4 linked regions of the Tamandua tetradactyla genome follow. The protein of the gene in region 3 purifies or fractionates together with the protein of the main gene of each other region. This does not show direct contact. Links are inferred from orthologs where the notes say so. Each region holds a gene or a part of one and is shown on either strand. Other genes may lie near its edges. The genes, in order: RPS20, TOP2A, NPM1 and RPLP1.

What was found.
Region 1: the proteins of NPM1 (region 3) and RPS20 purify together in Homo sapiens (affinity purification with mass spectrometry; 3 studies listed by BioGRID and IntAct, with this or other methods). This does not show direct contact. The link is inferred for Tamandua tetradactyla from reciprocal best matches to the Homo sapiens genes NPM1 and RPS20.
Region 2: the proteins of NPM1 (region 3) and TOP2A purify together in Homo sapiens (co-immunoprecipitation; 3 studies listed by BioGRID and IntAct, with this or other methods). This does not show direct contact. The link is inferred for Tamandua tetradactyla from reciprocal best matches to the Homo sapiens genes NPM1 and TOP2A.
Region 4: the proteins of NPM1 (region 3) and RPLP1 purify together in Homo sapiens (affinity purification with mass spectrometry; 3 studies listed by BioGRID and IntAct, with this or other methods). This does not show direct contact. The link is inferred for Tamandua tetradactyla from reciprocal best matches to the Homo sapiens genes NPM1 and RPLP1.

The regions. Positions count from the first base shown.
Region 1 is NC_135332.1:99,698,383-99,704,394, forward strand, and holds RPS20 (small ribosomal subunit protein uS10), read right to left. Parts: upstream 2,164-6,012; 5' UTR 2,024-2,163; coding exon 2,021-2,023; intron 1,837-2,020; coding exon 1,737-1,836; intron 1,569-1,736; exon of another isoform or gene 1,503-1,568; intron 1,432-1,502; coding exon 1,358-1,431; intron 721-1,357; coding exon 538-720; 3' UTR 501-537; downstream 1-500. UniProt on the Homo sapiens protein: Component of the small ribosomal subunit. The ribosome is a large ribonucleoprotein complex responsible for the synthesis of proteins in the cell.
Region 2 is NC_135332.1:26,942,006-26,948,882, reverse strand, and holds the start of TOP2A (DNA topoisomerase 2-alpha), read right to left. Parts: upstream 3,019-6,877; 5' UTR 2,875-3,018; coding exon 2,854-2,874; intron 2,835-2,853; exon of another isoform or gene 2,693-2,834; intron 1,983-2,692; coding exon 1,827-1,982; intron 1,632-1,826; coding exon 1,541-1,631; intron 1,234-1,540; coding exon 1,170-1,233; intron 125-1,169; coding exon 1-124. UniProt on the Homo sapiens protein: Key decatenating enzyme that alters DNA topology by binding to two double-stranded DNA molecules, generating a double-stranded break in one of the strands, passing the intact strand through the broken strand, and religating the broken strand.
Region 3 is NC_135346.1:52,611,381-52,618,947, reverse strand, and holds the start of NPM1 (nucleophosmin), read right to left. Parts: upstream 3,021-7,567; 5' UTR 2,899-3,020; coding exon 2,841-2,898; intron 834-2,840; coding exon 754-833; intron 196-753; coding exon 76-195; intron 1-75. UniProt on the Homo sapiens protein: Involved in diverse cellular processes such as ribosome biogenesis, centrosome duplication, protein chaperoning, histone assembly, cell proliferation, and regulation of tumor suppressors p53/TP53 and ARF.
Region 4 is NC_135338.1:73,086,517-73,093,594, reverse strand, and holds RPLP1 (large ribosomal subunit protein P1), read left to right. Parts: upstream 1-4,507; 5' UTR 4,508-4,656; coding exon 4,657-4,728; intron 4,729-5,187; coding exon 5,188-5,262; intron 5,263-6,169; coding exon 6,170-6,287; intron 6,288-6,458; coding exon 6,459-6,538; 3' UTR 6,539-6,575; downstream 6,576-7,078. UniProt on the Homo sapiens protein: Plays an important role in the elongation step of protein synthesis.

The sequences.
Region 1 (6,012 bases), on a different chromosome or scaffold from region 3:
ATTTGTCGAGTGTTACCTCACATTTCAAACGAAAATTTGAAAAACCCCGAAGGGGAACAATGGTTCTCAGGCTGCCAAACCTGTTTAAATCACAACTACGCTAAAGAACAGGCTTTGGGCCAGGTTAACCTACACCATCGTATCCAATAAATTCATTAAGGTAAACTGTGGTCTTAGGACATGTTTTTTCAGTGATAAAGCTAACAATCTCTTTTTGAGGTGGAAGAGACCTGTGTATATGAAGCAGCATTTCCAAGGATCATACACAAAATACTTGAAGAACCAATGCATTATGATAAGGCCTTACATACTAAATAATTTTCTGCTGTCTCATATAATTTGATCAAAAGTTATTAATAAAATGGTTTAATGGCCTTTAGGAAATACAATAAACATAGTAACGCGCCACAGGATGGCTACTTCTTGAAAAGTTGACTACATTTCACAGCCCATCTGTATATTCCTAAATCTGTTGGTATTTTGAATAAAACTCAACAAGCTTAGCAACTGACAAACAGTTTATTAAAAATAGCTGACTTAAGCATCTGCAATGGTGACTTCAACTTCTACTCCTGGTTCAATACTGATAGAAGTAATCTGCTTAACAATCTCAGAAGGACTGTGCAAATCAATGAGTCGCTTGTGGATTCTCATCTGGAAACGGTCCCAAGTCTTTGAACCTTCACCACAAGGAGTTTTCCTTGTAGTGATTCTTAGAGTCTGTAAACAAGAAAAACAGCATTTGTGGTTACATATCTATACACAGGATATCTGTATAATTACTGCATTAAAATCCTCAGGTATGGGCGGGCCGCGGTGGCTCAGCGGGCAAGAGTGCTTGCCTGCCATGCCGGAGGACCCCGGTTCGATTCCCGGCCCCAGCCCATGTAAAAAAACAAACAAACAAAAATATATAATAAAAAATAAGAAAATGTTTAAGATGTTTCCCTTTCTTCCTCCCTTCCATCCTTCCTTCCTTCTCTGTCTTTCCTTCCCTTCCTCCCTCTCTAAAAAAAAAAAAAAAAAAAAAAAAAAAAAAAAAAAATCCTCAGGTATTTCATTTGAGAAAATTCCCTAGGTACCACATTCTTCTATGTAAACAGGTCTTCAGGTACCATCAATTTGTAATAGTAAGTCCATTTTCACTCCTCTAGGACATAACTCTCTACACCTTTTAAACACCACACCACTATAAAAAAACAGCAAGTCATCTCTAAACATTATGTACTTAATACGAACCAAATTACCAGCATTCTTTACTTGGCTTGTGTTTTGGGGAGCCAAATATTAAAGAGAAGAATTTGGACATAGGCAATAGAAGTCAACTCCTACTTCCTGCCCCCATGCTGTAGTTTACCTTGGTAGGCATCCGAACAGGTCCCTTCACCTTGAGGTTTTTTTCCTTTGCACCTCTTATCAAGTCAGCACACACTATGGGGATATAAAAAGTTACCTGTAAGTCCATTCGGCACAATTAAAATATATTGAAACAATTTTGAGGATGCTGGCTCAGAATAGCGTACATAACTATCACCATAATTCAAAACGTAGATTTCTCCTCACGGCCAACTTTAAATGTAACAAAGTTATGGCATTATATAAAACACAGGCCGACAAATAGCTTGAACTACTGTAAGCACTTGCGGCTGTACCTCTCGGAATCAACCTCACACAGCAAACTGACAGACGCACTGCTCTCAGCTTGCAAAAGCCTCAGCCTGAACCACCGCACTAACCCTTCTCCAGAGACTTCACGTTGCGGCTGGTCAGGGTGATTCTAATGCGATGAATCGCCACCTCGGGTTCCACAGGTGTCTTTCCGGTGTCCTTAAAAGCCTGTCAATTACATGGGTGATAAGAAAATATTAAGCACTCCCGAGATTTCTAAATTCTAGAAATAGGCTTCACGAGCCTTCCCAGCCAGGTTCCTCTACCACCGCGACAAACCCCTTTGCGGAAGCCCCTCCATCAACCTCCCATAGCATCTGCCCCAGAGTAGATGAGTAGTCCCAGCACTCACCATGGCTGCGGCGCGGCTTCCTGACCGACTTGTTCCTCCGCGAGAGCGAACAGCGGTGAGTCAGGAGGAGCAGAGAGCCGAAACGCCTGGAACGCACAGACCGCGCTTTCTTCGAAAAGGATGCGCGAGGCCTGCGCGATGCTTATATAGCGGCGCACGCGTCTGCATCCGGGTCCCACATGCCTCTCCGGCGCCTGCCCCGGAACAGGAACTGCCCCGAGGGCTCTAGAGGCCGCCCCGCGGAGTTGGCGGGAAAGGTGCGGCCGCGCGCGCCCCCTGTCTTACAGGCGGAGTCGGTGCCTCGAGGCGAGGGACAAGCAGAACGCATGTGCTGGTCTGCGCAGTCTCAGTGGTGCGAGCCGCTCGGGCGCCTAGCGGAGGTGACAGGCTGGAGGGCAACCTGCCCTGACGCCGCAGAAACAGCTCTGGCTGGTGCTCCCCTACCCCAGCCCCTTAAAGTTGAGAAGCTCCCTGTGGGTTTTGCAGTGCAAATTTTGCTTCGCATACAGAATCACTGTTATCTGAGCAAGTGGGTAACTACTGCATTGAATTCACGTGGGTATTGGGAAAATCGACCGATAACTTGGCATGTTACTATTAAGATTAGTCGGGGATATTTGCATAGCCTGAAATAACTTATCGTGGAATTTCAGCTTCTGGCTTTCCACGCCGGTAGAAGTATCTACACCTATTCCCGGGCAGGTGAGAGTGCACCTGTCAGGCTGCTCCGACAGCGGGCTGTATATCTGGAGGTCCAGCCCGCAGATCCAGGCTGTCCGCCTGATTCTAATGGTATTTCCTCTCTGTTCGGATAAAGTAATATTATTTAGGAGCCTTTAAAATCTGCTTAACATTGAGCGTGTGTTTATAATCAAATAGGGACAGATACAGTGGAAAAGCCAACAATGGTCAACCTAGCTCCTAATGAGCACACTTATATTTGAGAAACAGGGGTGGTTCAAGAGAACGGGATCGGCGAGATGGGATTTGGTCCAGAGCTAATGGGAGAATAAATAACCCCATATTATTTTACAGGTAAGCACAGAAGAGTTCTGTGATTCAAACATAAAGAGCTGCGGTGTGACAAAGCTCTGACGCCCCTCTCCCTCTCCCTCTTCCGGAAGTTCTGTTCCTTTGAGAGATTATGCTTGAAATTTCAAACAAGGAATAGCATTGGCTTACTTATGAAGAGATAATTAGGCATGACTAATAGCTTTATCTCACAAGGAAAATACATTCGGTTTTGCTGCCATTTTGCAATAAATTTAAATGTTAATGATGGGATATTTTTCAGTTCAGTTATCTTGAAATGTAACCCATGGACTGTATACTCTATTAGAAGAATATGCAGCGGAAAATAGAAACCTGCATTCTTGTTTTACTTGCTGAAACTAAGATGAGACATAATAACTTAGTTTTAATTTATTGGTGTGGCTATCTGCAACCAAAAGGTAAAAATACATTTGCCTAGCTCCCTAAATGTGGTCAGCCACCAAGGAACTTATGTTAGTACTGAAGGTGAATGGACAACTGCAGAGAAAGCATAAAGCAACTTTCTGGTTTTATTTAAGCCTCAAAGGACAATCAGAAATTCAGAGAAGTGTGTGTGTTGGGGGACGGGAGACAGGATTGGAAGTACATTTGTGATTTTTTTTTTTTCCAATAACAAATCTAGTAGATCTAGGTCTGTTCTTTGGCCTGCCTCACTCTTTAAATCCTTGAGGAAATGGTAATCATGTTATCGTCCTATGGCCATAGAAAAAAGGTAAAATATGATCCAGCATGTGTGGTAAAAGAAATTGCTGATGTGGTTGGAATTAAGGAAATAGCTGGTTAAGATAATATTAGACAAACTTAATGAAAAGGTCATTAATTTTAAAGTTTACAAATTTTAGTTTAAAATATTTTGTTGTATTTTCTCTTGGAAGCTAGGAGCTGCTGTGACTCGAAAATGTCCATTTAAAATGTATTATTCTGATTTTGGATTTGAGATGTTCATTGGAGAAAAAGGTTTTGCTTAACAATAAGCAAAAAGGAAGAAAATACTCAATTCCACCCATCCAGAGATAACCACTGTTTACACTTTCAGGTATGTATAAATCTCTTTAAAAATCAAAAAAGGCTTATACTCTGTACGGTATGGTAACCTGCTTTATTCTCAGAATATTATTTGGTCACAATAAATACACATTTGCAACATCCCTTTTAATGACTGCCTAATTGTGACATGTATAGCTGTTTCATTCATTTATTGGACCAGTCCTGTAATTTTAGACACTGAGGTTTGTTTGCCCATTTTTCTTTTCTATAAATTATACCATGAGGTTGTATAAGGTACATCAGGTTTTTCACTTGCAACACTATTGCTGTTTTTGAGCAGATAATTCTTGCTGTGGGGGCCGTCCTGTACGTTTTAGGATGCTTAGCAGCATTCCTGGCTTCTGCTCACTACATGTCAGAAGCATCCTACCTACCCTGCTCCCAAGTTATACAAACAAAAGTATTTCCAGATCTTGCCAAATGTCTGGGGAGAAATCACCCCACCCCAGCTGAGAACCACGATTGTAGGTGAACCTTTTGGCACATCCTTAATGCCTTAGCTCATTCTAGATGTTCTTCTTTTCAGATGCTTTAATCAAAGAACAGGCATGTATTAAATATTTTGGTATGTTCAATTAAGTTGCCCTCTGGGAAGGTTGTACCAAAATAGGGACTTCCTCCAGCAGCATAAAACAAGTTTTAGCTTGAAAAAAAATAGAACTACCTATCTGTTTCATTTCAGAATTTTAAAATATCGTGACAGTTACAAAATTTGTGTTTTCAACATCCCTGTCCATTGCCTTTCTCTACTAAGTTTTGTAGTTTTTAAAATGATCTTTTACTGTCATTGCAGCTGAAAGTATTTGTGTGAATCTGTGGACAGCCATCTACTGGTTTTTTGCTGCAATAACAGTGTCATCCAACTAATACCAGAAGTAAACATGCAGCATTAGAGACTACTTAATTCATAGTACAAATATATATATATATATTTATGAATAAAACAGTAAAGGTAAATTGTCAAATGAATGTGGCAGAGAAGTTTAGATAACATTCTATTTGCAAAATTTTTTATCTAAATAAAGTATTCTTTTTAATGTTAAATCTCTTTAGCCTGGAATTTAAGAATGTAACCAGAGCGAGTTAAAACTTTCTCTTCTAGTTACTCTTCTATGTTATATTTGATAAGGGAGTGGAATATGAAGGAAATTACTTCCTGTTTCCGAGGATTACATGTATAAGTTTTTAGAACAGAACAGGTCTCTTCATAAAGTAATGGCTGATACAGTGTGAAGTGCTCCACTTGTATTAATATCAATTCTTTTGATCTGCACGTTAACCTTGGGAGATAAGGACCATTATTCATATTTTATTTCTGAGGAAGCTGAGGCCCTGAAAGGTTAGGTAACTGGCCCATGGTCACAGGAAAAGCCAGGATTTGAGTGCTCACAATCTAACGTCTGCACTCCTAACCAAGTGCTAACCTCTCTTTCAGTATATGTGGCACTGAGCCTTGTCATTTGTAGTGGCACTGTAGGAGCAGATGTAAAATCATTTTGTTATACACCCTGACATAGGAAAGCTTTACATATTTCAATTTAGTTGAAATCAGAAATATTTTGTTATTGACTATGTGTCCATTATAAAGTAGATACTATATATATCCATTATAAGGTAGAATCCCTATTTTTAAAAAATGTTTATTTTGAAATAATTTCAAATGTACAAGACAGTTGCAATAATAGCATAAAACCCATACAGAGAATTCCAACATATGCCGTCTCCCTAGATACTCAGATCCATCACCTTTTAACATTCTGCCTGATCATTCTTTCTATTATCTATCTATCTATCTATCATCTATCTATCTATCTATCATCTATCTATCTATCACCTACCTCTCTCTATCCATCCATCTATCTGTCCATCCATCCATCCATCCATCCATCCAT
Region 2 (6,877 bases), on a different chromosome or scaffold from region 3:
ATCATAGTTACTAGAAGTCAGGAGCTGTCCAAAGATGAGAGCTGGGACGTACACCTTTTCGACTTTGTGTTCAACAACAGGAATACCTTTTCCGTTATTCCATATACTAATTAAGTTGTTTTCCCTAAGGAGAGAAGATTGAAAATTCTATTGTAAAATAAAGGTTAAACTAATGTGTAACATTTTAAATATTTAAATATTGATATTATTTCTAAAATATATAAATTCACAAGTCTAAATTTCTTTCGACTCTTTTTTTATATATGCCTTCTGAAATTCTGCATGAACTATCTTTCCCACAATGCTGAAATAGGAGTGTCTATAATGCCAAGAGGAAGATAAAACAATAATAATAACAGCAATAACAAAACAACATTTTCCAACATCTGGGCAGACACTGATAATGTTGGAAAAATAGGAAATTTTCAAATGTTAGCATAAACAGAGGGAAATGATTTATGTCAAATGGAAAGAAAAAGACAAAATCTGGAAACTATCATTTTACTGCTTTTGAGAGGATCATGTGCACTCCCCTAGTTCTCTTAGCTTTCCCACCCACAAATGGAAAAAAAAGTTTGTCACAAAGCAAATACAAAAGGCAAAAACATGCTCAATTATAAACTGTCCAGCTGACGAACAAAATGCTGCAAGTTTATTTGAACTTATCTCTTAGTTATCATTTTAGGTTAATTCTCAGACATTTTAGCTATAACTGGGCATACATTATGGTTCTAATTCGAAATAGTATTTAACAATACCGTAAAAAAAGTCTTATATTATTCTCTACCACCACCTGCTGGCTTACTATTTGAATAGCATTATGTGAAAATGCTAAAAATTCCAGACGCCAAAATATTTTAGGCTAATTCTTGATTGGAGATGCTTGCTGAAGTTATTTAGGGCTTAAGTGTCATAATGTTAGTAAATTTATTTTGAATTCATTAAACAATATTTATAGATGGAAAAAATATGACAAAATGTCAGTAACCGTTTGATCTATGTAGTAGGTACCATAAGGGTTGTTCATTTTAGTGGTTTGCGTTTCTGTAGGTTTTGTAAACTTCCGTAAAAAAAAAAAAAGGTCAACTTCACTAATATCAAAGTAAATGTAGCTAAGAATAACGACAACAACAAGATATTACGAACAAAAGGCTAAGCAAAAGACATACGGGTCAATTGTGACTCTAATACAAGACATCTTGGGATCCCTTTGCTTGTTGTCCGCAGCATTGACTGAAAAAAACAACAACATATTTGTAAGAAATTGAAGTACTTTTTAGAACATTAATTCAAAGATTTAGGAAAAAAATTTCCCAGACAGCACAGCAATAGCATTAACAAGGTTTTTCATTTAGAAAATTTTTGTTCAAAGCACTGCTTCTAGGAAAGAACTCAGTTTCCTGGACTCCAGAGACTACCCCACCGTCACCAACTGTTGTTTGAAATGATAGAACCTCTGGCTACAGAGGATCTGGTAAGGAATGATACTTCTTATGAAGGGTTTGACCTGTAGATCTTCATATGAAAAGAATTTACTCACCTAGAATCTCATCAAAGATTTTGTACAAACCAGGAACAAAAGTGACCTCCCTAAAGTTAATGCCAACATCTTCATCGAAAACCCACATTTGCTAGAAATAAGGCAAAGAAGTATAGTTACTTTTACTTTATATTCTTGTTTATCATCACGATTACTATAAAGTATTCTGGATTAAATACTATAGTACATATGTAATCACTTAGGCCAGTTCCAGCGATGCTGGAACATAAGAGGAAAAGTACATATTTTAACGGATAAGTAATTGCACTTAATTAGCATGTTTTACCTGGGTCACTAATTCCACAGAGCCAATGTAAGTGTCTGGGCGGAGCAAAATATGTTCCAGTTGTGTTTTCTTTTGATAGATTCTTTCAACAGACAGTCTTTTCTTAGCATCTTCATTTTTTTTAATTTTGCTGATTTGCATATTTTCATTTACAGGCTAGCAAAAAAAAACAGAAGAAAAGCATTTTTTTTTAAAGAAAAGGGCTTTTAAATCATAGATGTATCAGAAACTAATGTCTGCCATAATGATATGCTTAAACAACACAATAACAAATTGCAGTCTTTTGGTAGGTATTGGTGAAATGTACATAGTTTTGTACAAAGATGACAAGGTAAACTGCAGCTTAGCACTCAAGTGTCATTTTTAAATAGACATATTATCTCACCAAGTGTATCTGACATGAAAACATTTTCCTTGATCACGGCTCTAGATGGTATCGATAAAAACACCACTTTGTCCATCTAGTCCACAATTATTTACCAAGTGCCTACTATATTCCAAGCACATAAACAGATTCTAGCTCTGCAGCAGCAGAGTGTGAGAGATGACATCAACTGAATCATCTGGCCGCGTTCACGTTTTGAGCACAGGAAGGTCATTTTTTGAGCAACTCGGGTCTGCCAGCAACTCCAGCGGGAACGCTGAGCCAGGCGCTGCACTTTCCGAGATCAGCGACATTCAACCGCACTCTTCCCAGAGGGGAGGAGGGGAAAGCATGTGCTACTAAAGCCACACACAGCCCACGTAACGCAGATTTACCACAGAACGAACTGAATCCCGCCCCTAGAGACAGTAAAACAAAACCAACACCCTGACTGCAGTCTAGCCGATAATACTTCAATGTTAGCACCAAGAAGGGGTTTCACCTCATTCACGATCACCCAGAGTCCAGGGAATACGGGCCCTCAGCCCGTGGAGGAGTTCCGAAGCGGCGCGGGCGCCCAGGAGCCCTCACCCCTCACCGGCAGCCGGGGGGATGCCCCGATACGCTGAGGCTCCACGACCCGGGCCCTTCCGCGAGCCGTACCTGCAATGGTGACACCTCCATGGTGACAGTCGTGAAGGGGCTCGAGGACCCTGAACGTGACTAAACGGGCGTCAGCCGCGAAACGACCGGAGACCAGGCCACTTCTCTTCAGAAGCCGTCGGTTACGCGCGCTCGCCTACTCCCCTTTGAACCTCCTCTAGCCCGCCTAAGCCAGATAAGCCAATCCCTGACTCGCTTTCTCCGACGCCGTCCAGAAGAACCAATCACCTCTGTCCACATCTAAACCACCTATAAACGGCCGAGTTGGCCAGAGCCTGTTCGAATGAACCAATTAGGCAAAGGAGGCGGGTCTAAAGCGTTTTCGAAAGGCACCACTAGGCGTAGAAGCGGGGAGACAGACGGGGGATGTGGCCAGTGAGTTGGGGTCGTTCTTTCTGTGAGGAAAACACTGAAGAGAGTTCCTGTGGAAGCGGCAAGGGGTTAAAACCTGAGGTGCAAGCTGCCAGGAGAAAGTGAAGAGGGTAGAGAGGATATTTATTTCTCTGGAACCACTAACCTATTTCTAGTCTCTGCAATCTGAAAACCTCCTGAGGTAGTTAGTGAAAGGAATAGGAGTTTCAGCTCCACCTTCCTGAGGAAACTGAGCGCCAGCTTTCAGGACACAGCCTTAGAGAGTTGGCTAAGCGAAGAGGGTCCGGCGCCTATCTAACTTGCCTTCCCGAAGAATTTATTTCCAAAGAAACGATTTGTGATATAGCTGTAGTTTTTAGTTTTCGTATAGTAGGATGTAGAGAGGTCATACAAAACAGTATAACATTCAGCAGCTATGGACTGCAACTGATAAAAGGAATAGTTTATAGTTGCCGCTTCAAGGTTTTGCCAGTTTTGCAGCGAGATATGTTCAAATCTTTTCACTCAGACTGCCCGGGGATGCCTGAATACTTGTTCCTTTTGCTCTCTTCAGTGTTAAATTCTGAATTCTGCAATCCAGAATAACTGTTCACGTTTGGTGAGGAAACGCCAAATTGACAATCTTTTTAGTTTATTACTCTGAGGTATAAATGTTCGAGTGGATTTATACTTGTCAATCCACAATGTTAAGAAGACAAAAGAAAAAGGAGATGATAGAAAAAAGTAACATAATTTGATTGCTAATTCTCTCTGAAACACCCCCTTCCCAATCACTACTCCTATATTCTGCATGGGTTTCAGTCCTGGCTCCTTAATTTGCCAAGTTTTGTGGTGCTTCAGTTTCCTCTACTAAAAATTGTCGATAATAATGGTATTCCCTCAGTTCTGTGAAGATTGGTTATATGAGATGAGCGGAGGCATTTAGAATAGGAGGCTAAGGATATCAGAATCAGAAAGCAGGAATTTTCCTTAGACGGGTAATGCAATTTGTGGATTTAATTCCCCTTTTCTTCTATAGGAAACCAGAGGTTGTGAAATAACTCCAGCATGCCCTGTGCCCACTGCTGGCAAAGCCCAAGGGAAGACTGGTGAGGAGGGGAATATGTATAATATGTCAGGAAACAAGGGTGGAAGTAGGATGAAGCAAGAATGAAATTCCTTTGGCTTTTCCATTGAGAGAAGTCCCTACAGTGGCTTCTGCCGAGTCCTAGTATTATATTATTCAACCATAAAAAGGAATGAAGTTCTGATTCATGCAAGAGCATGATGGACCCTGAAAACGTTATACAAATTGAAATGTCAGACACAAAAGGACAATATTGTATGGTTCCATTTATGTGAAATATCTAGAATAAGCAAATTCATAGGGACAAAAAGTTGACTAGAGGTTACTAGTACTCGGGGCAGGGGAAGGGCAATTGGAATTATTGCTTAATGGATACAGTGTTTCTGTTTTGGGTAATAAAAATTTTGGAAACATACTGATGATGGTAGCACAACATTGTGAATATAATTAATGACACTGAATGTTACACTTAAAAATGGCCACAATGGGAAATTTTATTTTATATATATTTTACCACGATAATATAAAAAAGGGTTTTGGAGTCACACACACCTGAGTCAGAATTCTCCCTTGGCCTCAGTTTCCCCATATTATTATCCTTCGTCAATGGTACAGAGGGCCAAGTGAAATGCAAACAGCGAGGACAAATCTCCTCCTGCTTTTAAGCATTGTGTAGTCTGGTCAGAGCTGCTCTCTTCTCCATCCCTTTCCCTTCTCTTCTGGCCAAATTTGTTTCTCTGCCAGCCCCTCCCCTTTCCCAGAACCTACAAGGAAGCTCTTGAAAGAGTAGATGGGAGTCTGGGATGTATAGGCCTTGGGAGGCCTTGCCCATAAAAAGGGGGTTTCCTTTTGGCCCTAGAAAGCAAGAAGGCGGTGGGAGTCAGCTCTAGGTGGGAGTTAGTTCTAGGAGGCGATGGTAGGGGAGGGGACAGGCACCATCCTCATATCCTCCCCCATACTCTGCTGGGACCCAAACTAGCTACCCTGACATAGCCCCCATTTCTCCTCTAGCCCTATGGGTGTGGTGGAGTACTTGAGTCGGTCTCCTGACTACAGTACTTGATGAATGTATGACATTCAGCCATTCTCCGTGTCTTCATTTCTTCATCTAAAATGAGGATAATGAGAGTACCTCCTCATAGAGTGAGATAACACATGTAAAATGCTTAGTGCATTGCCTGACAGACAGTAAGAGCTCGAAATATGTCAGCAGTTATCACCTCAAAAGACCATCTCTCTCCTGTCAGTCCCAGGTGTCCCTTCCTCCAAAACTAGTTCAAAATATCTCCCCTCCAGGGAGTTTTCTCTATTTTATCAAGACTTCTTCAAGTCTTTAGGAGTACATTTGCATATGCGGATGCATTCCCTTTGTAAGTATTCTTAGGTTGTTAAGAATAACAACCTACAAATAACAACAAGGAGTTGTAATACTCCTACAACTATTCAACTGGGTGGTGGGTGTTTCCTGTCTCCCCTTTCAGTGGCTGGGAGAGTGGATGCCTTGAAGGCAGGGGTTGTGTCTCCTTCTTTGGTCCAGTTGCTCTCCCAGAAAGGGCAGTGTGCTTCCTACTTGCTGGCTGACAAAGCAGAGGGGCTGGACTGAAAGTGTGGCTCTGGATTTGGTAGATGGATTTGGCTAGGCTGGAGCCCACTGGGAATTCCTGGATGAGGCTGGGCCAGCTCCAGGGTACTTGGGTGGCTAAGGCTGGGTCAACAAGCTTTGTTTACCTTGAGGTTGATGACTGGCAGGTTCCGGTCTGACCTCTTTACTCGGGATAACAGTCTTTGGTTGAAGGAGGTGAGAAAAGTCTGAAATGTCCCATAGAACTCAGTATCTTTTACCTGCTGATGGCAGCTGTGAGTCTTGCCCCTCAAATTTGTGGCTCCAGGCAAGGGGACATTGTGGGCCACCAGATGGAGTTGGGAAGAGAGCAAAAGATATTCAAAACTGTGAGAGAGGAGTAGCACAGGACTAGAGTTCAGTCCCAGAAAATCTACTGGGAGGTTTCCCTCTGGTCCGGCAGTGCTGTATCTATCAAAAAATTTAAAATGTACACACCCTTGATAGGACAATTTGACTCCTCGGAATTTACTCTACTGATGCATTCCCATAACTGTGCAAAGATATATACACAAGGTTATTTCAATATTGTTTTTAATAGAAAAGAACTGGCAGCAATCTAAGTGCCTATCAATGGGGGAATGATTAAATAGTGAAATGTTCAAATTATGGAATGATATGCAGTTATTAAAAAGAATGAAGTAGATCCAGATGTACTGATACTCAAATATCACCATATATTTATTGTTAAGTTTTTAAAAAGTGAGATGAAGAATAATAGGTAGAGTGCTCGCTTCGGCAGCACATATACTAAAATTGGAATGATACAGAGAAGATTAGCATGGCCCCTGCTCAAGGATGACACGCAAATTCGTGAAGCGTTCCATATTAAAAAAAAAAAAAGAAGAAGAAGAATAGGTAGATATAAAGAGCTCCTACAACTAAAGAACTAAAAAAAACGACCAAGGATTTGAATAGATATTTCTCTAAAGAACATATTCTAATGGCCAAAAAAGTATCTGCAA
Region 3 (7,567 bases):
CACCCCCTTTTCCCCATCTTCTTGATTTAAACCTCATTATACTACTTCAACACAGTATGATTTAAGTGCTCTTACCGTTGGCTGTACGGACATTTTCAAAGTTGCCAGTGTTACTTTAATTGGACTGCCTTCATAATTCATTGCCTCTGCTTCAACAATGTGCAATTCATCCTTTGCACCAGCCCCTAAACTGACCTGTGAACAAAAAATAGTCCCTCATCCTCAAGCTTCCGCTATTTTACAATCTGCCCCCAAATGTGTAAAGTTTTTAAAAAACTATAAACCTTTCATTATCACCATTGATGGAAAACTAATCTTCAATTTATGCACAATTTAAGTGTTACAGTTTTCGTGTGCACAAGTTCTCATATTCAGCGAATTTGAAGAAATGCATAAACATGGCATGGATAGCTTAACAAATACAGTAGAGCACCTACTACAAATTGAATGCTAGGTTGGTCTCAGTGAGGAATAAATGATTATAACTGACAAGAGGGCTTTATAACACAACTGATGAAGCAAAGTATATAAATAAGGAAAGCTAAAAAGTGATGTGACTATATGAAGAGTGGTAAAGATGCCCAGTACTGTCTGTATCACAGGTGTATATATTATCCAGTACTTATAACAACTAATCATAAAGATGCTGTTATCAGCAGTCAGGAAAACAGTGAAAGTCATAAGCCAGATAAACAGGATCCAAAAGGGTGAAATCAAGAAAGGTTAAGTAGTTTATTTTGAAATTTTAAGTACCGTTCTTAAAGATAACTGGTGCTCATTTTCATCATTATCCACCTTAAAGTGATAATCTTTGTCAGCCTTTAATTCACAACCTGTAATGAAGAAAAAAGTAACCAACATGAGCGAAAACTGAAACTGAAATTACCTTTACCATTTTGATAACTTGCAAACTTGTTTTTCACTTTACTATTCTAGCTTCCAGAGAGCAAGACAAAATGATCTCTTCTCAGATTTTTTGAATACAGAATTCTATAAACGTCAAATAAAATCCATACAGGGCTTTATAAATTCTACTTTTCCATTTCCCCAACTCATTCTCCACTACATGAGACAGGCACTATAACCATTCTGCTGCTAGAACTCAGCTCAAAGATTTACTTAACCATTATGAGGCCAAACTTAATGTACAAAGTTGATAATCTCCCACTATTTTAAAGTTATATTATCTGTCTAAACTGCCCCCCAAAAGCAGCAAATTAGAAATGGGGGAGAAGCCTACTCAAACACCAACAAACAAACCTTGTTACAAGGGCCTTCCGATTACCTTTAAGTTAACAGAAGGTGTTGTACATTAGTAATTCAGTAATCACTTCTAAAGCACAAGATATACTCCAGTGGTGTTTCCAATAAAAGGAACAAATATTTTTATATAAACTGGTTAGCAACTTAGAAGTAATGCCTTAACGTGCTGAATGTCTAAAATGCTAGATACATTTCATATAGGAATGGGAAAATTGTTTTAATACTGTCATAACAGAGTTAATTCAAATAATTCTATTTAATAAGCACTGTAACAGTTAACCGGATGTGCATGCTTGAATATTATTGCCCAATAAATAAGTCTTAGAACAGCAAATAAAGAAATCAAATTTGGGGCGATATTTGCACTTACTCCAAGGTTAAAAACCCTGGATATGGCCTGACTGCCCACAAGGAAAAGCTTTCAGTTAATAAGCCTCCTGAGACTGAAAACCAAAGCAGGCCTCTCCTTCAGTACTTACATATGGTGGGAGGCAAAAGCGGGCTGAGTAGGGTTATCCCTTGCCAGAGGGCTGCCTCCGCCATCCCCAACCCACCAAAGACAAAAGAAAACAAAAAAAGCCTCGTTACCCTATTTACACAGCACCGACAGAGCAACAAAGTCTCGGATAGGCTCTAGCATCCATTTCCTACAAGTAAATTCTTAAGCCACTTAACTTCTGAACATCAGTATCGTCATCTGCAAAATGGGGCTAAGACCATTAACGCAGTGACACAGAAAAAAGCCCTATAGAAGATTACTACCACTACTGTATGTGCAAAGAACTGCACAAAGATCTCCAGAACCCTAGCGCTACCAATCACTTCACCTAACGTTTCCCGCCCAACAACTCCAATTAAGCCACAACAAGATCCCTGGCTCCGGGTTGACATACACTAGGAGGCCCCGGATGTATAGCCCGCGCCTCCTCCTTCCCCCAACCACGTGGCAACCACGTGCTGCCAGCGGTTGCGGCCTCCTCTCATCCCGCTGTGCCTCCCCTCCCCCTTACAACCGGCCAAGAGACCAAGACCGAGAGTCAGTAATACAGCCCTGGACGCTGAGATCCGGAAACCTGGCGAAGCCTCTAACTCCAGCCTATAGCTATTCTCTTCTGCAGAAAAATAGGCTCAGGCCTCCCCAAGAGCCCACACGACCTTCTGGACCAATACCTGGGGATCCAGCAGCAAACATACTGGCCTAGAATCAAAGACATACCAACTCCCACGTGTCTCGACAAAGAAAAAGCCGGAGCTCTACCGCATACCAAGGCAAAGCCAAACCTTCACCCGGTTCTACCTCGCCCTCACGCACTAGGCCTCAGGCCCCAGGCTTCAGGCCGCTCCCATTCCCCCACTTCCTGCCGCAGGCTTTCCCAAGCTCCGGCATCGGCCTTCCTCGCTCCCCATCCCTCAGGTTCCTGGGCTCCCACTGCGCCCCTCCCTCCCTCGGGCCTCCAGCACGCTTAGCTTCCTCCACCAGCCCAAGCCTCAGTAAGATCTCCATTACCCATTCTCCCCACCCCCACCTCAAAGCCACCAGGCCCTGCTCGACCTCGCTCCAAACCTCCAGCAGTTACCGAAAAGATAGTTCTGGGGCCTCAGGGGGCTCATGTCCATGTCCATCGAATCTTCCATGGGGTGGTGGCAAGCACTTAAACAGGTGAGAAGACGGACGGAGATAGACAACCACTGTTGCAAAGAACAGTCGCGCAGGACGGACTCACACCAGGGAAAGGACGCGCGCTCCCCCGCGCATTTATATAGATCCCTGTATATCTCGCGAGATCCTCCAAGTCCCGCCTCCGCGCGCGTGCTTGGGAGCCCCCTCCTTTTGCAGTCGACCTCCCGCGCAAGCGCTCTTTATCCCATCTTCTTTTTACCTCACCCCTACCTCCTCCAGGTACTTCGCGGGCTTCCACCGAGCACGCGCACTCTTACCCTGGCCCCACCCTTCCGTCGCCCTCTTCTGTGCGCACGCGTTTCCCTTGCCGGGCGCCTCCACCTCCAACCCGTCCACGTCCGCTCCGCTAGTCGCACGGGTCGCACGCCCAGATCCTACGCAGCCCACCCTGCAAAATGGCGACGGCAGCCCCCAGAGCTCTTTTAGGTAGGAGGTTGATCCTGTTTGTAAGTGTTCAGAGAGCCGCTCGGTTTTCCTTTCTTCGTCCCCTCGTGCCCCGGAGGTCTCCAAACAGGCACGCTCCAGGATTTTTTACTTGCCTGAAGGCCTGAGTTCGGAGTTCATTGTTTCCCCAAAGTTAGAAAAGCTAAAGCTGCCAGAGACAGAGTGAACTACAACTTTTCTGTTGCATTGCGCTGGGAAGAAAAGAATTAGCTACTAGCCGAACTTAACTCACTTACGTCTTTATAGTTGTCCTTTCGCTTCTGGGGCCAAATGGGACTGTCATCCCTCTCCACCGCGCAGGGCAAGGGACCATACGTGCCTGATTTTTTTCAAAGAAGCTTTTTAAAGGACTGTGTATGCACAGTATGTCCATACAAGGCCTTGTGAAGTATATGTGACTGTCCCCATTATGCACACCAGAATACGGGCCGAGAGGTATGAAATAACTTGCCAAACGGAGAAAGTGAGACAGGGAACTAATTGATTCTCTAGCTCCAGGGCAACCCAATGAATGCTACATCATTCTTAAAAAGCTTTTGAGGATCCACCCTGAGATAATGCAGTTCTTAATCTTCAGCATGCCTCTAGAGCGAAGGCGTATGACTTATACGACTGCGTAAACTTTAATTAGAATCTTTGAGAATGAGCTTGAAAATAAGCATCTTACACAACACCTTGACAAGTTAGGGTCCCCTAGTTTAATTTTTACCTCACCAGATCAAACAATAAATTTAGGAAATACTGTGGGAACTGAAAATAGTGATATTGATGCCCCCACTCCCTTTTCTACAAATATAATCTAGTTAGGAAGGTCAGCTATAATATAAATAAACCAATTATTAATGAACAGAATCCAGATCCTAAATTTAGAGAATCCTTATGCAAAAAGACAAATCAGATAAGACCAATATGTGGAAGGGGCCAAGTTGTTCCCCACTTTACCCCCAATCCTAACAAGAGTCTTTGTTCTTGGATCTTTTGAGATGCAGAATATGGCCTAATTGCTAGAGAAAATACTGAAACTTGAAAGAATATGTATGTAAAGGACTAGGAAAGGTAGAGAAACAGGAGGATCAGATTGAGGAGAGTTCATTTAGAATGAAAAAGTGAAGATGAGCTATAAGAGAGTGAAGGAGGAGGTGTTACTGTTTTTTGATCCACTCGAATAAAGGTTGAAATTACTTTGCAATTTCTTTCTGATTTCAGGGTCATTATCATTTTAATGCAAACTTGTACAGAGCCTGAACCAGGTAGGAGCTGTGGCTCATGAAAATAAATACATTTGTTGTTTCTAATGTTTTAGGCATCTAGTCTGGATATGATCTCATGGAGTTAAGCAGTTAGAAAACCCACTTACTGCATTTTTCAGATTTACAAATGTAATAATGCTCATTGTCTTTTAAAATAGAGTGGTATAGGCCTGTACAAAGTGAAAAATTACAAGTGGCTCTCTTTCCATCTTAGAATAACCACTGTTAATTGTGTGAGTATCCTTCCAGCTAACTTTATATGTTTTAGAGAGGGAGAGAAAGAAGGAGGGGGCAGACTATATAGTTACATTTTGTTTGTTTCTTTCTGAAATTCTGGGTAATTCACATCTTATTCAACTTTCTATAGTCAAAAATATATTTTGGACATTTATCCACATTAGTTCATAATATGGCTGTGTTATAATTTAACTGTCCATTCCTCCACTGAGGGGCATTGAGTTTGTCTCCATAATTTTGCTCTAAAAAATAATGTCTTAGTAAAAATCTTTATGTATATATCATTATGGATATCTAAAAATACTTGTGTAGAATATATGCTAAAAAAGAACTTACGGTAGAAAGGCAGGTATTACTTATGAACATATGTACATATAAATACATCTTTTTATTGTTGACATGAATAGATTCACACTTCATGTATTTGTATATTGTTCTGCAACTTTGTCCCTTCACTTCGTGTGGCTTAGCTATCTTTCCATTATATAATAGAGTCCAACTGTATTATTTTTTTATGAGTTTCATAGTATTCCATAGGATGAACATACGTCCTATTTTTAAAATTCCAGGTTTTATTTATTCCTTCATTTTTAACACATTTATGATGGAAATATTCAAATACATAAAAACAGAAATAATGCTATGGTAAAAATCCATTTACCCATCATCTAACTTCAACATACAGAATCTTGTTTCACATATACCTTCTCCTTCCCCTTCCACCTCCATCGGCCTCTTTAAAGAAAGTCCAAGACATTTATCAGTTCATCTAGAAATATCTCAGTACCTTTCTTTGAGAGATAAGAACAATCTTTAAAATCTGAACATAATACCATTGTGATTCAAATAAAAATTTTAACTAATTCCTAACATTATGAATTACCTAGTTTAAATGTCCACAATTGTCTTTTCCAGTTTGTTTGAATAAGGATCCAAGCAAGATCTATACATTATACTGAGATGTTTCCTTTAACATGTCCCGTTATCCCTGAATTTTCTGAAAGTTAGTAGGTAGATCTTGAGCTGCACTGTCTGATGCTGTAGCCACTAATTACATGTGGCTATTTAAATTTAACATAATTCACATCCTACCTCCTCACTGTCCTCATTCTCCTCGTAGAATGGCTATTATTATTTTTTAAATGGAAAATAATAAGTGCTGTCGAGGAGACAGAAAAATAGAAACCCTTGTACATGGTTGGTTAGAATGTAAGATGGTGCAGCCAGTGTAGGAAACAGTTTTGCAGTTCCTCAAAAAAAACAGAGCTACTATATGACCCAGCAATCCCACTTCTAGTTATATACCCCAAAGAATTGAAAGCAAGAACTCAGATAAACGTTCACCAATGGTTATAGCAGAGTTATTCAGAATAGCCAGGAGGTAGGAGCAACCCATGTGTCCATTCCCAGATGGATGGATAAACAAAATGGGGTATACATAAACAATGGAATATTACTCAGCCTTAGAAAGGAATGAAGTTCTGATAAAATAACACTACATGTATGAACCTTAAAAACATCATGTTTAGTGGAGTAAGTCAGACACGGAGGAATAGATATTTTAAGATTCTACTTATGTGAAATAGCTGGAGTATGAATAGAGATAGAAAGTAGAGTACCTGTGAGAGGAAGAGTGGGGAGTTACTGCGTATGGGTGCAGGGTTTCTGTTTGGAGTGATGAGAGAATTCTGGTAATAGATGATGGTGAGGGTAGCACAACGTTGTTTATGTGATTAATTCCACTGAATGATATACTTGGAAGTTGTTGGGATAGGAAAGTTTATGTACGTTTGTTTCCATAATTTTAAATAAAGGGCAACTAAAGAGATGATGACGATTAAATGCAATACATAAGCCAGGACTGGATTTAATAGTGGAGGAGAAAAGTCCCAAAAAAACAGTACGAGGACCTATTAAAAAAAAAAGTTGGAATTGGAATATAAACTGTAATTTTATATCAGTGTTAAAGTTCTTGAACTTGATAACTGTACTTAAGGTGGTTACATGTGAATGTCCTTGTTCTTAGGAAATGCGCGTGGAAGTCTTATGTGTTCAAGGAGCATGGTGTATGCAAATTACTCTCACGTGTTTGGAAAATTTGGTAGCTGGATAGACAGACTGCTACAGCAGGTGTGGCAAATGTTAAAATTGGAGGTCTGGGTATCAGTGGGGGTGGAGTGTTGGAGTTCTCTATATGGATTTTGTAAAACTCTTGCAAGTTTAAATTATTTCAAAATAAGTTTAAGGGGAAAAAAATTCAATTCCTCAGTCTCGCTAGCCAAGTATTCAATAGCCACATGTGGATCATGACTATGGTATTGGATAGCACACCAAAACATTTCCATCATCACAGAAAGTTCTACTAGGCGGTGCTGATCTAGAGGCTTCTAGACTTATTGGCAAGAATACTTCCTGTTGCATTAGGAGACACGTATTGTCTGGTGTGTCTCTGTTTTGTAATGTTAAGTTCAATCAGGTGGTGTTGACCTGATTCTTCCTTTATCAACTCACCATTCACCACTCATCTTTCAGTTAAGAGTTTTAGTGGATTGTTGCTTCAATCCATTATTTCTAATTCTGTCACTCCCTCTGCATTTATTATCTGAAATTCTTTTATGAAGGTTGTCAACTAATTGGTTACCCTGAAAACAGTAGGCAGGAAAATCGTTGTCTTTCCCCTTACCTTTTTTCA
Region 4 (7,078 bases), on a different chromosome or scaffold from region 3:
TGGTTTCTTCCTTTGACCTGTCTCTTATATCTTTGCTATGTAACTAGTTAGTTTTTTGCATATTGTTTTGTAGGACTTCTTTATATAATCCTTTGGGTATTTTGGGTCCTAAATTTTCTCCCAATTTGTGAGGTCTTTTCACTTTTTATAGTATTTTCTTTTTAAATAAACTTTTTAGAATCCATCAGAATTTACAGTAAAATTATGATGACAGTACAGATTTCCCATGCCCTATACCTAATTTCCCCATTACATCTTCTATTAGTATTAGTATGTTTAATTTTTCCAGTTAATGAACCAATATTAATGCATTCTTATTAAATTAAGTCCATACTTTATATTCAGATTTCCTTACTTCTTGTTTAATGACTTTTTCTGTTCCAATATACCAAATTACATTTAGTCTTAGGCTAAATGTAATTTCTCCTTCGGCTCCTCTTGGCTGGGACAATTTCTGAGACTTTGGTTTTGGTATCTTTTGTTTTACACTTTTAAATTTTGATGCAACTTTTATGTTTGTGTATGAAGAAATTTTTCCATACCCTAATGTCTTAATATTCTCCTCTATTTCTTCTAAAATTTGTTTTGCTTTCACATTATGTGTGCTGTGAGGGAGGAATTAAAGACATTTTTCTCACCAGCCCCCATTTGGATAGGAACCCAGTGCCATTTTTTTTTCTTTTGTATGCTATATGACAGGGATCACATTTCATTTTTTTCCCATGTGAGTATCCCCTTATTGCAGCACCATTTGCTGAATTTTTATTTGCTTTTTTCTTTGTTTATTTGTTTGGGAAGTGCATGGGTCAGGAATTGAACCCGGGTCTCCGGCATGGCAGGAGAGAATTCTACCATTGAGCAACCCTTGCACTGCCATCCCCTACCCTCACCCAGTACTATTCTTATTGAAAAGAGCATCCCTTCCTCTGGATTATATAACCATGTTCACAAATGTATCAGAGTATATTTTTAGGTTCTCTGTTCTATTTTTCTATTTGCATGATAACACTACACTGCATTATGTATTTTTTGGGTGCTTTCTATGTGCCAGGAACTATTAGGCACAAGGAATACAGTGGCAAACTAAAGTTGGTGCCCTCATGGAATCTAAAATCTGTTATTACTTTTAAAGTCAGGTTGTCAAATTCCATTAAAAATTCTAATGAAATTTTTGTGGAAATTACATAATTTAGATAGAATTGCCTGCTTTCAAGATATTGAATCTTCCCATCTGTGAACATGGCATATCGGTTTGTAATTCGGTTGCCTTTTATATTATTCCATAAAGTTTTATAATTAAAAACATAAGTCATGTACATATTGTTAGATTTATTCCTAGAAACCATGTAGTTTTTGTTTCTATTGTATGAGGTATATTTTTGAGAAAATATTGCATTTTCTAATACACTGTTGCTGAGGAAAGGAATGCTGATTTTTGTAGCTTAATATCAGCAACCTTGGCAAATTACTTATTACTTTGAATTGTTTATAAGTTCTGTTGGAATTTCTGGATAGATAATCATATCTATAAATAATGTGAGTTCATACCTTTCCAATTTTAATTTCTTTGTGGAGTAGCTAACATCTCTAAAATAGGAATTGAATAGAAGCAGAGAAAGGAGACATTCTTGTCTGCTACTCATTTTAAGAGAATGCTTCTCAAATTTCATTATTAGGTATGATATTTGCTGTTGATTTTTGGTAGATAGCCTTTATCAGGATATGGAGGGTGACTTCTATGCCAGTTTTCTAAGAGTATTTGAACAGTGGTTCAAATTTTATCAGGGGTTTGGTCTTTCTGAATCTATTAAGACTTTCATATAGATTTTCCTCTTTAAATCTGGTAATGTAATGAACAATTTTTAGTAGTTTTATAGATGAACTATCCTGTTTAGTTGTAATATATATTTTTATATACATTTCTGGATTCAGTTTATTAATATTTTATTTTCAACGTTTTTGTCTACATTTTGCATTTAGGTATAATTTTTATCTTTCTCATTGTTTAAGGTTCTTTTGTTACTATGGCTATAAAATTAAGGGAACAAAATATTAATTTGATCTAAAAATTTTCTTCATATAGTTTAGACAATTTTAAAAAAATCTGTGTTGAACAGTTTTATCTGCTTGATCAGTTTTTAAGTATAATGGTGGGGGAATAATGTTTTGGACTGATTTGTTCTGGCTTTGTAAATGACTGGACTTTTCAATAGCTTTACCTTTCTCCACCAAAACACCACAATAATTCCTTCCTAGATTTGGGTGAAAACTCAAAATGATAGCTTATTTTGAAAAGCCTTATAGCTTTTAAAACTATTTTAAATAAGCGATATTAAAATCTGTTTACATTTATGTCTAAGATTGGCCCAAGTGGGAGGCCAAGGTAGGGGATTCCGATGAAAATTTTGGTCATGGATGATTATGAGATAATAGCACTAATTGAATAAAGCAGATTCCCTAAAAAATTTGACCCATTTTTCCATGAAACTAGGTAAATTCCAAGAGGAAACTAGTCTATGAAATGTGAAGATTACCATTTTTGAAGATAGGAGTTAAAATTGGGTTTCAGACCTTACCATCAGAGAATCTCTTGATACTGTGTCAAACTTTAGGGACACCCAAATCAATAGGCCATGCCCTCAATCCTATATCTTACTTAGGATACTTAATCCATAAGCTTACTCGTGAATCTTATGTAGGTAGCAGAGAAGCTTAGACTACCTATAGGCATGCCTAAGAATTACTTCTGGAGGACCTCTTTTGTTGCTCAGATGTGGCCTCACTCTCTCTAAGCCCAACTCTGCTTGTGAAATCACTGCCCTCCCTCCTACATAGGACATGACATCCAAGGGTGAAAGTCTCCCTGGCAATGTGGGAGATGACTCCCAGGGATGAATCTGGCCCTGGCTCCTTGGGATCAACAATTCCATCCTGACCAAAAGGGGGAAAACAAGTGTAATAAAGCATCAGTGGCAAAGAGAGTTCAAATAGAGTTCAGAGACTACTCTGGAGGTTGCTCTTATGCAAGCTTCAGTTAGACTTTGCTACCTATCATAACCTGCCAACCCCCAACCAGGACCATTCCAACAGATTCTAAAGAACACCTAGGGCTATATATAAGATTTCACAAGGGTTCCATGCACTAGAGAAACTTTCAAGAAACTTACAACCTCTAGATAGGTCCCAGTCCAGATATGTCCTGAAACATAGAGGGCCCAGCCTCTCCAGAACATCAGATAGTTCCATCTCCCTACCTCATATTAGTGGCAGACCTTTCCAATATGAAAAAGCTAGACTAGCCATAGCTCAAGCACCCTGAAAGAGAGGGACAGAAAGATCGGGGATGGTGGAGTTATACAGGGAAGATAGCATTTAACAAATGAATATGAATGCTGAATCATTAAACTGATATCTCTTTTAGTCTCCAGTATCTCAGACAGCTAGAAGTAAAAACCTAAAATTGTGGAATTGTAACATAACCCATGTCAAACTCTGAAACATATTCTACAACTAATTGTGGTGCTGTGCTTTGAAATTTATTGTTTTGTATGTATGTTATTTTTCACATACAAAAATGAATTAAAGTCAATTGTGATGATAAAATATTTAAGCCTTCTAGCCTCCTATATATTCTGGAGCAGCTAGAAGGAAAAATCTGAGTGGAAAAATCGTATGATAGCCCATGACAAACTCTGGAATCTGTCCTGTAACTACTTGTTGAAGAGTGCTTTGAAAACTATTGCTTTTTCATTTCTTTGCTTTGTATATATGTTATACTATACTAATAAAAATGTTTAAAAAATTAGGTTTCGGATCATATAGTAAATAATGCATGCCAGTTGTCGAATATTTGAAATACCAAAACAGAGAAGACAAAATTTATCTACAATTCTCAAAACCCAGCCAGTCCTCACCAACACACTGAAATTAGGCTTCTAGATTCTAAACCCAACCTCCATAGCGCAGTAACTGATCTTGGGCTGGTTACCTGGACCGTGCCTTCGCAAAACGGAAGAAATAGAAACCACACGACTCCTTCAACAGTATGGTTCACTTGCCTGGGACATTGTAGGCGCTCAACTGCTACTGCCAGGACAACGCTCAGTTTCTCCTCTATTTACTTATATTGGAGGCACTGCGCTAAGCATGGGGGCCCTAAATTGTAACTGTAGTTCCTGCCCTCTGAGAGGTCACCGCCTGCTACCGGAGGCTGGAGGCGTAAATATTATTTAGTGTCATAAGGTATACATACAATGGAGGTGAAATCCATTTACCTAGGTAACCTTCTCCTAAAAATATTTTTAATGTTCAAGAGCTGTTTTTTTTTTCTCCTCCACCAAAATCAACGGACACAGCTTTCCTATGCGCTTAGCAACTTTCGGAAATCGCAACGAAGTGTTAATAGTAGCGCGCAGGCGCCGTAAGCCCGTCTTCCGCCGCGGCACTTGCCTCGCCTCTTCCGCCAGACGCCGGCGCCGATTGGCCCGCGTGTTACGTATAAGATGCTGTGCGCAGGCGCGGGGCTCTCTTTCCTCAGCTGCCGTCAAGGTGCTCGGTTCTTCCGAGGAAGCTAAGGCCGCGTTGGGGTGAGGCCCTCACTTCATCCGGCGACTAGCACCGCGCCCGGCAGCCGTCTACCCAGCACCCGTCCGCATCATGGCCTCTGTCTCCGAGCTCGCGTGCATCTACTCGGCACTCATACTCCACGACGATGAAGTTACAGTCACGGTGAGTGCGGGCGCAGGTCAGCGGCGTGTGCGGCCTGTCCACTGCCCAACCCGCTCGCCGCCCTCGAGTCCTCCAGCGGGTCGGGCCTGGCTCTTCCGGCCACAGCCGCAGTGGTGGACAGCCCAGGCGTTTTCGGACCGGGGCGGAAGCCCCTCGGGTGGGCCCAGAAGCTGGGAGCTGTGGACTGCAGACCACGTGTCGACGGCCGGAGGGTTGCGCCTGCGGTTGTCTTTGGCTGTGAAAACCTTGATAAATGTATCCTTAGAGCGTGAGCATCCCAGTCCGTACCTTATTTTATGATTGAGTATGCCTTCATGAAATGCAGATAAAGATATTTAACTGGGTAAATGGCTTTGTACGCACGTTTTGAGTGACTTGCTTTTAATTTGCAGTATTTTGGAGACATTCAGGTAAGCTACACTTTTCCTCTTTGATGGATTGGCATTTTATTTGTTTTAGGAGGATAAGATCAATGCCCTCATTAAAGCCGCTGGTGTAAACGTTGAGCCTTTTTGGCCTGGCTTATTTGCAAAGGTAAGGTGATTTGTGGCAGACTTGGGAAGACGTGTCTGCTAGCTTATCCGGGGGAGTGTTCACACTTAAGGTGCCTCGTATTTCACTGCATTTATGTTTGGATGATGTTAAGGCTTCAGTTTGTTAGGCTTTGTGTGGCTTCAATATAAGCCTGATCTAATGGAAATTGAGTCCGATGATTTTATGTTGACCACTTGCTGTATCTTGGGGATGTGAAAATGAAGTCAGGGCCCCTGCCAACGAAATTTTGGCATTGGCTACCAGCCATCGTACCGGTTACTTAATATGTGGCAAATGAAGCTATTAATAGCTTTAACATGTTAGGTTGTAGCTTCTGAAGGGCTTCGAAAATTTGAAAATATTATCTATGTTATTAATGAATTCCTTTGGAAAAAAATCCTAGATTTTTTGGAAAGTGTGGGATCAAATTTAGTGTTGATGTCGAAAACAAAAACCAATTTTTAAGAAATCAGAAAAGGTGGATTCTGAAACTACCATCAAGTTTTTGGGAGGACCAGTTTCCTCATTTATAGAGGGTATTCAATTAGTTGGACATTACTACTTAAATCAACAACATAAATGTGAGCTCTGAATCTGGATAGTTTTGTGACTACTTTTTTACTTTTTATTTTTAAGAGATAAAACTCTTAATTGCGGCAGTCCTCAACTTTCTAACCCACACCCCCACTCTTTCCCATTATTTAAAATATATTATTATAGACTGTCCTATCTAATGAGTCCTAAGTTATTGCCAGTGAAGTCAGTCTTGATGAAAAAGCAAACCAAAAGTTTGATGTCACTGGCATGGGGGTGACTCCAACAGAGGAAAAGTGTTGGGAACTGAACATATCAGGGCTGGCTGAGAGGAACAACTGAGCATTTACCTGTGTCTGCACATGTGTTGCAGGCCCTGGCCAATGTCAACATCGGGAGTCTCATTTGCAATGTTGGGGCTGGTGGACCTGCACCAGCAGCAGGTGCTGCGCCAGCCGGAGGTCCTGCTCCCTCCACCGCTGCTGCTCCAGGTAGGAAACTTAAGTTTTTGTATGGAAGGAAATTAAAGTTCTATAGGTGGACGGTGTATGAAACGCTAAACCTGAGGCATGGTTGGGTGGTGCTGAGGGAATTCTAGTGGTTATTTTTGGCCAAAATAATGAGAGATGTGATTTTTACACTTCTCACTTTTTTTTTTTTAGCTGAGGAGAAGAAAGTGGAAGCAAAGAAAGAAGAATCTGAGGAATCTGATGATGACATGGGTTTTGGTCTTTTTGACTAAGTCCCTTTTGTAATGTTCAATAAAATGTTGAACCCTTTGCTGCTGTTGGTCTTGCCAGTAGTTTGGGGATTTGGTCTACATAGGTGGTCAGTCTTAACTTTTTTTGCAAGTGTATTTCAACCTTTTCTATTCTAATGCCCTGGCACATGAGGTGGATTTTTTCCCTTCCACCACTCCAGGTAGGAAGTCTTAAATAACCTGGACACTTAATGTGCCTAATAATAACCTTGAGGACTACTCTAGGGGTGGGGGAGGATGGATCAGTGCTGCCTTACCCAAACTAACTGTAAATTTGTGATTACAGAATTTATTCCCTGGTCTGTGCCTAAACAGTGTTCTCTTTTATTTAATGTACCTTATTGCTAATTATAAAGCTGCTCCCCATCCCACCATCACTCCAGGAAGAATACAGGAGAAACCAGCCATTCCTGTAATCTATAGTCGCTGCCTGGACATCCTTGGTATTCCTTGATGGTGGGGTAAAGACAGTACATTTAGAAAGCACCATGAATAATTTCCACGTACAGCCCTAAGAACTTC